Saccharomyces cerevisiae S288C: one gene and its partner. Changing the gene in region 1 together with any one later gene gives a genetic interaction. Each region holds a gene or a part of one and is shown on either strand. Other genes may lie near its edges.

What was found. Genes that interact genetically often act in the same process or in processes that back each other up.
Region 2: mutations in YOL019W-A (region 1) and CUL3 together harm fitness more than expected from each alone (negative genetic interaction), as found in Saccharomyces cerevisiae (one large-scale study listed by BioGRID).

Annotation. Positions count from the first base shown.
Region 1 is NC_001147.6:286,518-291,836, reverse strand, and holds YOL019W-A (uncharacterized protein), read right to left. Parts: upstream 3,418-5,319; coding exon 3,265-3,417; downstream 1-3,264. Other genes in the region: t-SNARE syntaxin TLG2, read left to right, coding at 1-956; TOS7 (Tos7p), read right to left, coding at 1,284-2,939; aromatic amino acid transmembrane transporter TAT2, read right to left, coding at 3,887-5,319.
Region 2 is NC_001139.9:498,576-505,150, forward strand, and holds CUL3 (cullin CUL3), read left to right. Parts: upstream 1-1,556; coding exon 1,557-3,791; downstream 3,792-6,575. Other genes in the region: SWC4 (Swc4p), read right to left, coding at 1-1,331; PEX31 (peroxisome biogenesis protein), read left to right, coding at 4,363-5,751; transcription factor IIF subunit TFG2, read right to left, coding at 6,082-6,575. UniProt on the Saccharomyces cerevisiae protein: As part of the CRL3 E3 ubiquitin ligase complex; polyubiquitylates monoubiquitylated RNA polymerase II subunit RPO21 to trigger its proteolysis; plays a role in global genomic repair.

The sequences.
Region 1 (5,319 bases):
ATGATTATCTTCTGGAGGTGAGACGGTTAAGTGAGCAGTTGGCGAAGGTTTATAGGAAGAATTCGTTACCTGGCTTTGAAGACAAGAGTCATGATGAGGCGCTGATTGAAGATCTAAGTTTCAAAGTAATTCAGATGCTGCAGAAATGTTACGCTGTTATGAAACGATTAAAGACCATATACAACTCTCAATTTGTGGATGGTAAGCAATTAAGTCGAGAAGAGCTGATTATACTAGATAATCTACAGAAGATCTATGCAGAAAAGATACAAACTGAAAGTAATAAGTTCAGAGTATTACAAAATAATTACTTGAAATTCTTGAACAAGGATGATTTGAAACCTATCCGCAATAAGGCCAGTGCAGAGAACACGCTATTATTAGATGATGAGGAAGAGGAGGCAGCAAGAGAGAAGAGAGAGGGCCTCGATATTGAAGACTATTCAAAAAGGACGTTGCAGAGACAGCAACAGCTTCATGACACTTCTGCAGAAGCATATTTGAGAGAACGTGACGAAGAAATTACTCAGTTGGCAAGGGGTGTATTAGAAGTGAGCACTATTTTCAGGGAAATGCAAGATTTGGTTGTTGACCAGGGGACTATTGTGGACAGGATTGATTATAATCTGGAAAATACAGTGGTAGAGCTAAAAAGTGCAGATAAAGAGTTGAATAAAGCAACACACTACCAGAAGAGAACTCAAAAATGTAAAGTCATTTTATTACTAACATTGTGCGTAATAGCGCTCTTTTTCTTTGTTATGTTGAAACCACATGGCGGTGGCAGTGGTGGTCGTAATAATGGTAGCAACAAGTACAACAATGATGATAATAAAACAGTTAATAACAGTCATGATGACGGCAGTAATACCCATATTAATGACGAAGAGAGCAACTTGCCGAGTATCGTTGAAGTAACAGAATCTGAGAATGATGCTTTGGATGACCTACTTTGATGACAAAACTTTCACGGTACCGCATCGCGATTTTGAACTATAATATGCTTTGAAGAAAATTGAGAGATTTAGTCAGCGTTCATATGACCTGTTGCTCGTTCTATTTGAGAAAAGTGAAAAGGTTAATATATGATTTCAATAAAGTATGTAGTATGATAATAAAATACAAATTTATATGGGATAAAATTGAACCGCAAGTAAAGACTGGCGAACGAATATTGTGCATAAGTAGTTCCTGAAGATGATAAAATATGGTTTAATACAAGTTGGTGGTTATTGTGATTTGTAGAATATAAAAAAAAAAAAAGAACCTTCATTTTTCTTTTTTTACCTAAATCCGTAAGGATTGTTCAGTGAAGTAGTAGCTCGGGGCAAGTTTTTGTTTTGCATTCTCCTCTTATAGGCAGGCTTATATCCTTGTGTTATCGGGCTTTGGTTTGGTAAAGGATTCGGAGCAAAACCGACGCCTGGTACCGGATTTCTGTGCTGTGGCACTTGGTTTGGGGCAACGTTGAAATAAGGATTGCTTTGTAAAATAACATTAGAAGGATCTGGACCAGCAGGAGTAGTTCTTTGATATAAATTGTATTGATGATATTGCTGCTGTGGTTGCTGTTGTTGTGGTTGTAGTCGTTGTTGGGGATACACTAATGGCGCCGGGTGTGGCTGACCAGCGTACGGCCTTATATTTGCAGGACCAGCGGCTGTTTCTCGAGGCATTTGATTGTATACTTCCGGATTGACACCTCTCTGTGATATTGAAGTCAACGTTGAATCTTTATCGTTGTAGGAGGACATGCTGTTGATGTGGCTATCGTTTGGTTCATTGAAGGAGGTCTCCATGATGTCGTTTAGTAGTCTCGAAGGATTTCTGTGCGGTATGACCTCTCTTTGAGAGTAGTCTGAGGACGCTAATGATGCACTGGATGATATTTCCGTTTTTCCTAGCGGAACTTTATAGTTTATATTGTTGCTGGTGTTACTACCATTGTTTCTCACATAATTATTAGAAACACTCCCATTTTTCAAGCCACTTTCACTTTCAATGACAGAATACGTTGAAGTTGACCTCCTTTTGTCATAGGCCATGCCATCGTCCTCTTCTTCATTAAGTCCGGAACCATTTGAATTTTCCATGTCCTTTGCTTCTTTATCGAAAGTAGAAATATCAGACGTGGTAGAAGTGGTTATGTTTGATAATTTCGGATCTTGATTGTGTGAAATAATATCTGGGACAACAGTGATATTAGTACCGTTCTTAAAATTGTCACCCAATAAATTCGTTCTTGAATCACCACGGAGGTTGGCCTCACTATCAGCGTCGATATCGAATCTCCCGGACTTCGAACTTAGATATGGGTCATTCAGCAGCATGCCCTTTTCTTCCAGTTCCTCGGTTTCGTCATCATCCCTTGAGCCTGAGCTTCTTGAATAAGCTGAGAATATCAAAGGAATTACTAGTAGAGATAAAGCAGCTCCTGGTATCAGGACCCATGAACACCAGGTTACATGTGGGTAAAACAGTAAAAATACCACGATACATATCAAAGAAGCAGAAAGAAAGCCTAGAGTGGAAAATGTCAAATTAACAAAAAACATGATGGCAGACGCACTACCAACTCTATCACTGGATAGCACGTTAATTAATAAAACGCTCATGATGGTACAAAGAAATCCCAAAAAATTAAGACCAGCAGCAATGGGTGTGATAAAGATGATTTTCCCCAATATAGACCTAGCGTTGCTATTGAGTTTCCAGTTGCTATCACTGTCTGATAGCTCATCGGGGTGATAATTATAACTTGCTTTTGAGCAGGAGCCCTCTTTACAGTAGCCGAATGTACCGTATGTGATCTCATCATATTTAGAATAGCCTATTTGTTTGAAAATTGGAGCCGTAATGGATCCGATAATGAGAAACGCCATAGTGACGAATTGTGATAGACCCACAAGGAAGAAAACTACCGAAGAATTTTTCTTCATAGCCTTTCTTATATTATAATCTATTAATGTTTACTAACTTCTCTGCTATAGCTTGAGTGAAAAATGGTATGTGCTTGGACAAGCTAAAATGAAATGATGGTCTTTTAACGCTGTGCCTTGTTGTTTCTATTGCCTGACACCTGAAGATATAAGTTATATATCGGAAAGAGAATGCAAGAAGAGACAAAATTATGACTAGCTGATCAAGAGGGTTTCTTATCAACAAGGATAAGAGACAACAGGACATGCATTACCGTGGCTTTCTGCCCACCACAGCGACAATGCAATATCGCTGACGCCTGCCTCTTTATTCAACTAAAAATATCTAAATATCAGCTGGAGCCAGCCGTCTCTTTTCTTCAGATGTGCCGTGATAAGCCCTTTTCGGCGCCCACGCGACGCGAATTGTTTCACACGGTAGGATAAGAGAAATTGCGTACAGCCACGAGAATTCGACTGCAACAAAGGTGTTAGACATTGCAGACTTGTTGCAAATTTGATTCCTACGGCAGGGAAAGATGCAGAGGAAAAAAATACTTGTTCATTCTTGGCAGATAGATTGCAATGCGAATCAAGTAAAAAAGCTAAGACCAGCGATGTGCAAAAGTAAAAAAATATCTCCCGGGGGCGAGTCGAACGCCCGATCTCAAGATTTCGTAGTGATAAATTACAGTCTTGCGCCTTAAACCAACTTGGCTACCGAGAGAAGCTATTTTTGTGTAGGTCAAGAATTGATGTCTATATATATTATTAATTTTATTGCGGCCTGGCTCGAAGAAGTCTTCATCCACGTATTCAAATGATAATTTTTCAAAATGTCAGGTTTTTTTTTTATTGTCATGTCGTTATGCATTAAATGATCTGGAATAATTAATTATGAAGGATGAGTACTAGAGAAGAGAAAAAAAAATATTCTACAAAAATAAATTGAACTTGTTTCTTCGGTATTAACACCAGAAATGGAACTGTCTCACGTACCATGGACGGGAATCTAGGTACATTTTCTTTTCGGCAATTTCTTGCTTGACTATTTCGATGTCGATATCTTTACGATCGGTTTCCAAATCTATGTCCTTTAACGCCTTAACCCCCCACCATTTGCCTGTTTGACACTTGTAATAAATTTTGTGGACGATGAATATAAATAACATGATTAAGGCACACAGATAATTTTGAAAAAATATTTTAGCCCTTTCTTTGCCGCTGGTCCAGCCACCAATGGGCCATAGTGAACAATAGAATTGAGCTATCAAGATTAGACAGTTGATTAAAGCGGAATACGCTGATCCCCAAATCCCGACAGCACTAACAAATTCTAATTCATCCAGAGACTTCCCTTGAGCCTTCATCGCCAGTCTAAATCTGATATGTGACAGGTTGATGCTCAACCAGACAATGCACGTGGCCAGGCCGGCAATGGCCATTAACCAATTGAAAACTTCAGACATCGAGCCAGATTTGACCAGAAATGCTAGTAATCCAAATAGTGAATTTGCCATAATGCCAACCAGTGGCCTACCAGCACGGTCGATATAACCAAACCACCATGGAATAAGGCCTTGGTGGGCCATCGAACACAACGTTCTACTTGAAGCGAAGATGCAGGAGTTACCTACACTCAAAACACTGATAAGGATGACCGCATTGACGATGGAGGGCAAGGCTTTAATGTGATGCAATTTTATGGCAATGACAAAAGGTGAGTTGTCCACAGATGAACCACCCAGTAAGTTTTGGTTTGTATATGGAACCAGGAATCCTACCAGGGTCAGTGATATCAAAAAGAAAAATAAGATCCTCCAAAACACTTGCTTGATAGCACTTGGTAAGCCTTTGGGGTCCGTTTCACCTGATGCCAGGCACGTCATTTCTATACCACCGAGAGAATACGAAGCAACAACAAGAACAGATAGAACGCCCGGGAACCCATTGGCCAAACAACCAGGGTCGTGCCAGTATTTGGCGCCAATGAACTCGTGGTCGGGACCTCCACCGCAAATGAGGACAACGCACAATATAATGAATCCGCAAACTGTTATTGCTTTTATGGTGGAAAATGCAAATTCCGCTTCCCCAAAACCTCGTACACCAAACAAATTTATGGAAACAATAACAGCATAAAAGATGGCTACCCAAATTACGGGGTCAATAGACGAGTTCCAGTACTGTACGGTCATTGCCGCCGCAATGATTTCTAAGGGTAATACAAAAAACCACTGTAGCACGTATATGGTCGAAACAACAAAACTTATACTTGGATCCAAAAACCTTGTGCCGTAATTGGCAAAGGCCCCGACAACGGGGAACCGCACCGTGATTTCACCTAGCCCATGAATCGTCCCGATGATTTGAGAGCCTGCAATAGCCCAACCAATGACGA
Region 2 (6,575 bases), on another chromosome or scaffold:
ACATCAAATGAGGGCATCACAGGGCGAGAAGGTAACGATAATTCTTGAAGAATGGCGAGAATTTTGTTCTGCAGCGCAGGTTTGAAGGTCGATAATTTTGTAGATCTTAAGTATACACCCGGCGATAGCTTCTCACCATGCGTAATCACACCTAAAGCCTTCCTTTCATCTGAATTGAAATCTTTCAGCAATTGTTCTGCATATGCGCTTTCTGACTTTCTTTTGAGCGCCGTTTGCATTTCCTGTCTTTGTCTTTTGGTTTTCTTGGGGGAGAGATTTTCCTTGACTTCTGACTTTTTTACATTCAGTTGTTGAAGTTGCCTATGTTGGGCAAACTGCTGTTGCTGCTTCATCCAAGGATTTTCAGGGATGTTCAAATCGTGCTTCCGCTTTCTAGTTTTATCTGCTAGAAGCGCGTTATATAACTGAGACATTCCCTGAGAGGTAAGGTATTGTGTAATTGTCTGATCTGAATGTGGCGAGTCCAACAGTCGGAGTAATGATTCTCTTTCTGCAAGTGTTCTCTTGGCAGCCATTTCAAATTTTTTGGACTCTACTACGAGTGCCTCTTCTTCAGCAATTTCTGCTGCAGAACGAGAAAGAAGACGCTGTAAATACTTTTTTCTCTCTATCTCCTTTTCAGCTGAAAAATTCAAAGAAGATAAAAGCGGATTGCTAGGATCACTTGCTTTAAAATAATTCCTACAGGTGTAATAAAATTTTTCTTTGAGATCTTCAAGTGTTCTTGAATTATTATAACTGTATCTGTCAAAGATCAGGAACCAACGTAAATCGTATTTTTTGCAGAGATTGAACAGGTATTCTATTTCTTCAAAAGACCAGCTATTTTTACTTTCATCCTTCTTTTCATTAGTAAAGTTTTCGTTATGGTTTTTTTCACTTTCTACGCTTTTTTGAGTTCCTTCGTTTTCATTCATAAAAGCCTCGTACTCCTCCTTGGTGAATGATGGAATAGATAAATGCTGATTGAACTTAGAATATGGCGATTCTTTTGGTGTGTCTCCTATTAATTCTTTGGAACCCTTGACCCAATGACGCAGAGTCACAGAGTTATTAGCTTTGAACTCTACAAATGACCAAGGAGATGGCTTGGACGTCGAAAGCATTTTTTCTTTAAAGTTATTTCCAGACTTAATAACAACGGGGGGTTGGTTCTCTCCTAGCAGGTTAAATAGTTCTCTTTGCATGCCCGTCACTTGAGGCTTGGGCCGGTTGGCTGCCGAGGACGAAGGCACTGATACCTGGCCATTAGTTGGACTTCTGGATTTTTGCTTAATGTTTAGTACATCAAAGATGTCTGATGATGACATATTACCTGTGGTTTTTTTACTAAATTTTCGTATTATCGGAGAAATATGTTATGAATGCTTGTTGCTATTAAAATACAAAGTGGATTCTTGATTTATCACTAAATAGCTACCCGGAGTTGGCGCATCGCAACTTCATTAAATAAGTTCGAGTGTGCGTATTCTAATCTGATTCATATAAAGTATACTCTAAACGGGCTAACTCAAATCTGAAATTAGGGCTACTATATGATAACTAATAAGAAAATAAAGATAAGTGTCCCAGAAAAACTCGGTTTGTCAGAAGAATCTTTTGAGGAATCCTGGGAAACAGTTAAATATGCCATTGATCATATATACAGCGATGACATGGCCGACCTTTCCTTCGAACAAGTGTACAAGACCATTTATACTATCGTTTTAAATAAAAAGGGGCCAATACTTTATAACAGATTGAAAGATTATTTAATCCAAAAATTAGCGCTTTTGAGGGAAACGATAGTCAAGGACAATACTCATGATTATGAGTTTCTTGGAACTATGGCACGGTTATGGGAGGTGCAATGCCATTGTTTTAAAATAACGGGAGACTTAATGATGTATATGGACAAAGTTTATTGCAAACCAAATAGATGCATGGAGGTATACGACATGTGCCTCGATCTTTTCCGAATCGAAATATTGCAAAAATGCTCATCTTCTCTCATCTCAGCACTGATATCTGATATAGAAAGGATTCGTAATTTAGGATCTGTCGACTCCGAACATACTAGTTTGTGGAAAGTACTAATAGGAATGATGGAGACATTACATGACAATAGAGATAGTTTTTTCTTAACCGATTTTGAGCCGGTTTTGATTAGCGCGACAGAAGAATACTACAATAAAGCTATTGATATTGAATTATTAACGCCAATTGAGAGCCTGGAAAAGATTAGGAAGTTAAGGCAGTTTGAAAGTATGCTAGACTCCTCTTTTCTAAATGTGGATTCTCATAATAAGTTGAAGACTGTATTAGAAAATGTCCTTATATGGGGAAAGTTGAGTGATATTATTGAAGATCTAACGCACGAAGCAATGGTAATTTCAAATGGAAAGCTACTCCAAGAAATTTATGACTTGTCAAGCGAGGAAAAATATCGCGTTACTGTCATTGAATCTATTAAATCTTACATCAATAAAAATGCCATAAATATTCCTTTTAATGAAGGTAACCGCAAAAAAGGGCAGAATGCGATTACTTGGTCTTCGGAAATTGTAGAGCTATATCGCAGTCAACACTCGTTTTTGGAAAGTATTGATTTTGGTTCTGTTCGTCTTAATAATTTGACCGGGGATGTATCTAATGCAATACTTGGCGATGTTTTCTCAATGTATTTCTCTAAAGAAGGAGCATTACCATCTGAGTATCTTTCTACCTACGTGGACCATTGTATGAAACGAACCAAGGAAAAAGATGCTGAAATAGTGAAGATCAAGCAAGATTTGCTTGATAGTACCAAATTAATCGGACTCCTAACTGAGAAGGATATATTTGAAAAGATTTACAAAAAACAACTCTCCAGAAGATTACTGCAGCAGAGGTCTTTAGTGGAAATTGAAAAATGGATGGTGCAAATGATAAAGAAGGTTCTAGGAACTTTTTTTACCTCAAAATTGGAGATAATGCTGCGAGATATATCTTTATCCTCTGAAATGTATCAAGCATTCCAACACTCAACAATCAACAGCATAGAATATTTGAGTTTTGCACCACAAGTTTTGACGAGAACGAGCTGGCCCTTTCAGAGTACTAATCCAATTGATGAAGGTATTTCACTACCTCCTAGAATGTCACAAATTTTAGCTGGCTTTGAGGGCTATTACAGCTTAAAATACAAAGAAAGAGTGCTAAAGTGGGCTCATCATCTAAGTGTAATTGAAATTGGCTGCCAATTTAATAGCGGTTACTACGAAATAAGTTTTTCTGTTTACGCTGGAGTGATTTTCCTTCTATTTGAAGATTATGAAGAATTAACGTTGGGGGAAATATATGAACTAACTCATATTCCCATAGATGACGTTAAGTCTCTTGTAATGTCAATGTCGACAATACCCAGATGTAAGATTTTGAAAAAATCATCCAGTTCAGGAAATATGAAATTTTCAGTTAATTATTTCTTTTCTTCTCCAAACAGGAAAGTGAAAGTGCCGGTTATTGCATGCCCTCTACCATCTCAGAAATCAGATAATTTGGCAACCGCAAGTTCCGTGGACACTTATGATAATGAAATTGTTATGGAGCTTAGTGCTATTATTGTTCGTATCATGAAAACAGAAGGTAAGCTAAGCCATCAGCAATTACTTGAAAGAACTACGAAACGGACACAGTCTCGGCTCAGTCTTACACCGAGCATTTTGAAACGAAGCATTCAGCTTTTAATAGAGAAAGAATACATCCAGAGAAACGCAGATGACCCCTCTTATTACCATTACCTTTCCTAATTGCTTATAATGAAAATCACAGGTATAAGGTTTGCAGAATGCCAACAGTATATATAGATGGCAGTTCCTATCCGGCTGCCAGAGCGAACAATATTAAGAGGATATGCGTCGATACTAATTGAATGTTCATCCTGCATTCCTTAGTGAAACTTTCAAAATATATAATAACATAGTTATGGTAGACTATATATCCCAGTCAAACTTGAATGTAATGTGGAGTGGGTAATCGATATCTCTTGAAGTTTATTATGCCTCATTATATTTTTATAAAAAACTTCTAGGAATTTGTTGAGTCAAATAATTTCTTTCTTAATCATTAAGTAAGTTAAAGTTACGAGCCTTTCAGACCTGCGTAGCACTGCTTCAAAGGAACTATTATCAATAGCAGCGCCTTGCTCTTTTTTTTTTTTCAGATGCTTAGCGGCCGTATTTCACTTTTCCTGGTAGAAAAATATATGTTGAAATTTACGGTATAAGAGAAGCTCACCAAAATTATTATCAATAAAGCGGCACTTTTAAATTTGGTATTCTTCCCTGGTTGTCAAGCCTTGGTTTCCCTTTATTTGATAGTATGAGCGAAATAAATAATGAAAATCTAGAGCCAACCTCAAGTACAGTAGCTGAGTCTACAGAAAGCAAGAATAAACACATTCGTAGCGCTTTAAGAAAACGAAGAGGTAAATTAAGCGCCCAAACTTATGAGGAAGATCAAGAGGCTATTTTATCATCTCCTTTATTGACTTCAACACCTAAAACAGTCTCCAGGTCATTAGTGAGGTTATACCCATATTTAATTGTTGTGGATAACTTTCTAAGTATCATCACTTGGTCCAATGACAATGTCTCTGCAAACTTGCTTGGAATATTCTTATTTACGGTTTGTGTTCTATATTTTGGATTTATTACAAGGTATTTTGGACATTTAATGATCGTTGGTATAATATGGGTATATCTTTTAATTGACAAGCACGTTCAAGAAACAATGGCATCTTGCCCTTCATTGGATGATATAATACACGTTATGGATAGGGTTTCTATGAAATCTAGCGCTGTGTTATCTCCTATTACGATTTTGAGCGCTCAGGATGTTAGAAGACTGTTATTTACCATTGCCTTCCTATCCCCAGTTTATATTTTTCTAACAGTGTTTGTGCTATCTCCAAACTATTTAATGTTAATAGGGGGTCTGTATGTGCTTACGTACCATTCTAAACTAATCCGAAGAATGAGAAGATACTTGTGGAAATTTCGCGTTGTTAGATTACTTGTATTTTTCATAACAGGATTAGACCTTGGTGGACCAGATAATAATAGGCGCTTGTTTGCTTCTGTCAATAAGAAAATAAGGTCCTTTGTTTGGAATGAGGTAGGGAACACATCTAACACTAAAAAGACTGTACTTTTCAAGGTTGCTCTGTTTGAAAACCAGCGCCGCTGGCTTGGCATCGGATGGACATCAACTATGTTGAGTTATGAGCGCGCATCTTGGACAGATGAATTCCTAAATACTTCTCCAAGCCCAGAAGTGTTTACTTTACCAGAGGAGCAGTCGGGAATGGCTTGGGAATGGCACGATAAAGATTGGATGCTTGACCTAACAAATGATGGGATCATTCAACTTCCTGCTTCTGCTGCTAAGACAAAAGTTAAGCCAGGTGCAGATGAAGGTTTCATATATTATGATAACACCTGGAATAATCCCTCTGCAACGGACACATATAAAAAGTACACAAGAAGAAGGAGGTGGATCAGGACTGCAACAGTAACAACAACGTATGACGATGAGCCCACTGTAGAAAAAGCTACACCGAATTCTCATGCTCTGAAGAGTGAAGAAAATAATAGAGTTAGAAAAAGAAAAGTGTCATTTAGTACAGCAAATGAAGTGCATATCATACCTTCCTCGGACAGTAGCAAATTAATACAAATATCTGATGTTTCAATGTCTCCTTCTCTATAATGAGTGCATGCCCCATATGGACAACAACGTTCACACTGGTCGGTGCAAGGGCACACAGCAATCTCAGAGTTTCTTTCATTGGCTGCATGGAGCACAAATTCAATCTTGTGCTTTAAAGTATCTGCGCGGTTATGGCAAGTTCTCCATCAGTCTCTTATTCCAGCAAGCATTCTTTTACGGAACTTCAATGCATCTAAATACATATGTACAGATAGCCAAAACTAATAGAGACATAATAAATTAAACAAAACTGTAAATTTTAAAAAGAGTATATATAGGGCTCAAGAAACTGCGTAAATATAAAATTAATGAAGAAAATCTGATTGTCAACTAAACGACATCTTCCATTTCTATTTCATCTTCCAAGTCAGCCTCCGCGTCTCCTTGCGCATTGTCTCCAGCGGAACCTGTTTGCTCATCAGCTAGTTCACCTAAGGTTGCCTTTCTCTCCTCCTCTTTCAACTTTTTATACTCTGGCCTTAAAGTGTATTTGAATGCATATGGGCCCTTCTTCACTAGAGTGGCAACTTTATCCAAACACTCCTTTAAATGTGCTTCAGGTTGCCTAGTACGTTCCTTCAACCCCTTCAAGGACCAGTAGTCATACTCATCAAATAACTTGAACAAGTAATCCAAGATTTCCTTCTTTGGCATACGAATAGATTTAATATTGCTCTTGGCCTTCTCACGCCCCACTTTCAAGAAATTCGAGTTGTCTGACCTCATGGACATACCTGTGTGGCTCATCGTAACACCAACGGTTTCATCCAAAGTTGTGATCCTTTCCTTATTATTAAGCTTGACAATATTTCTTCTCTGTTCAA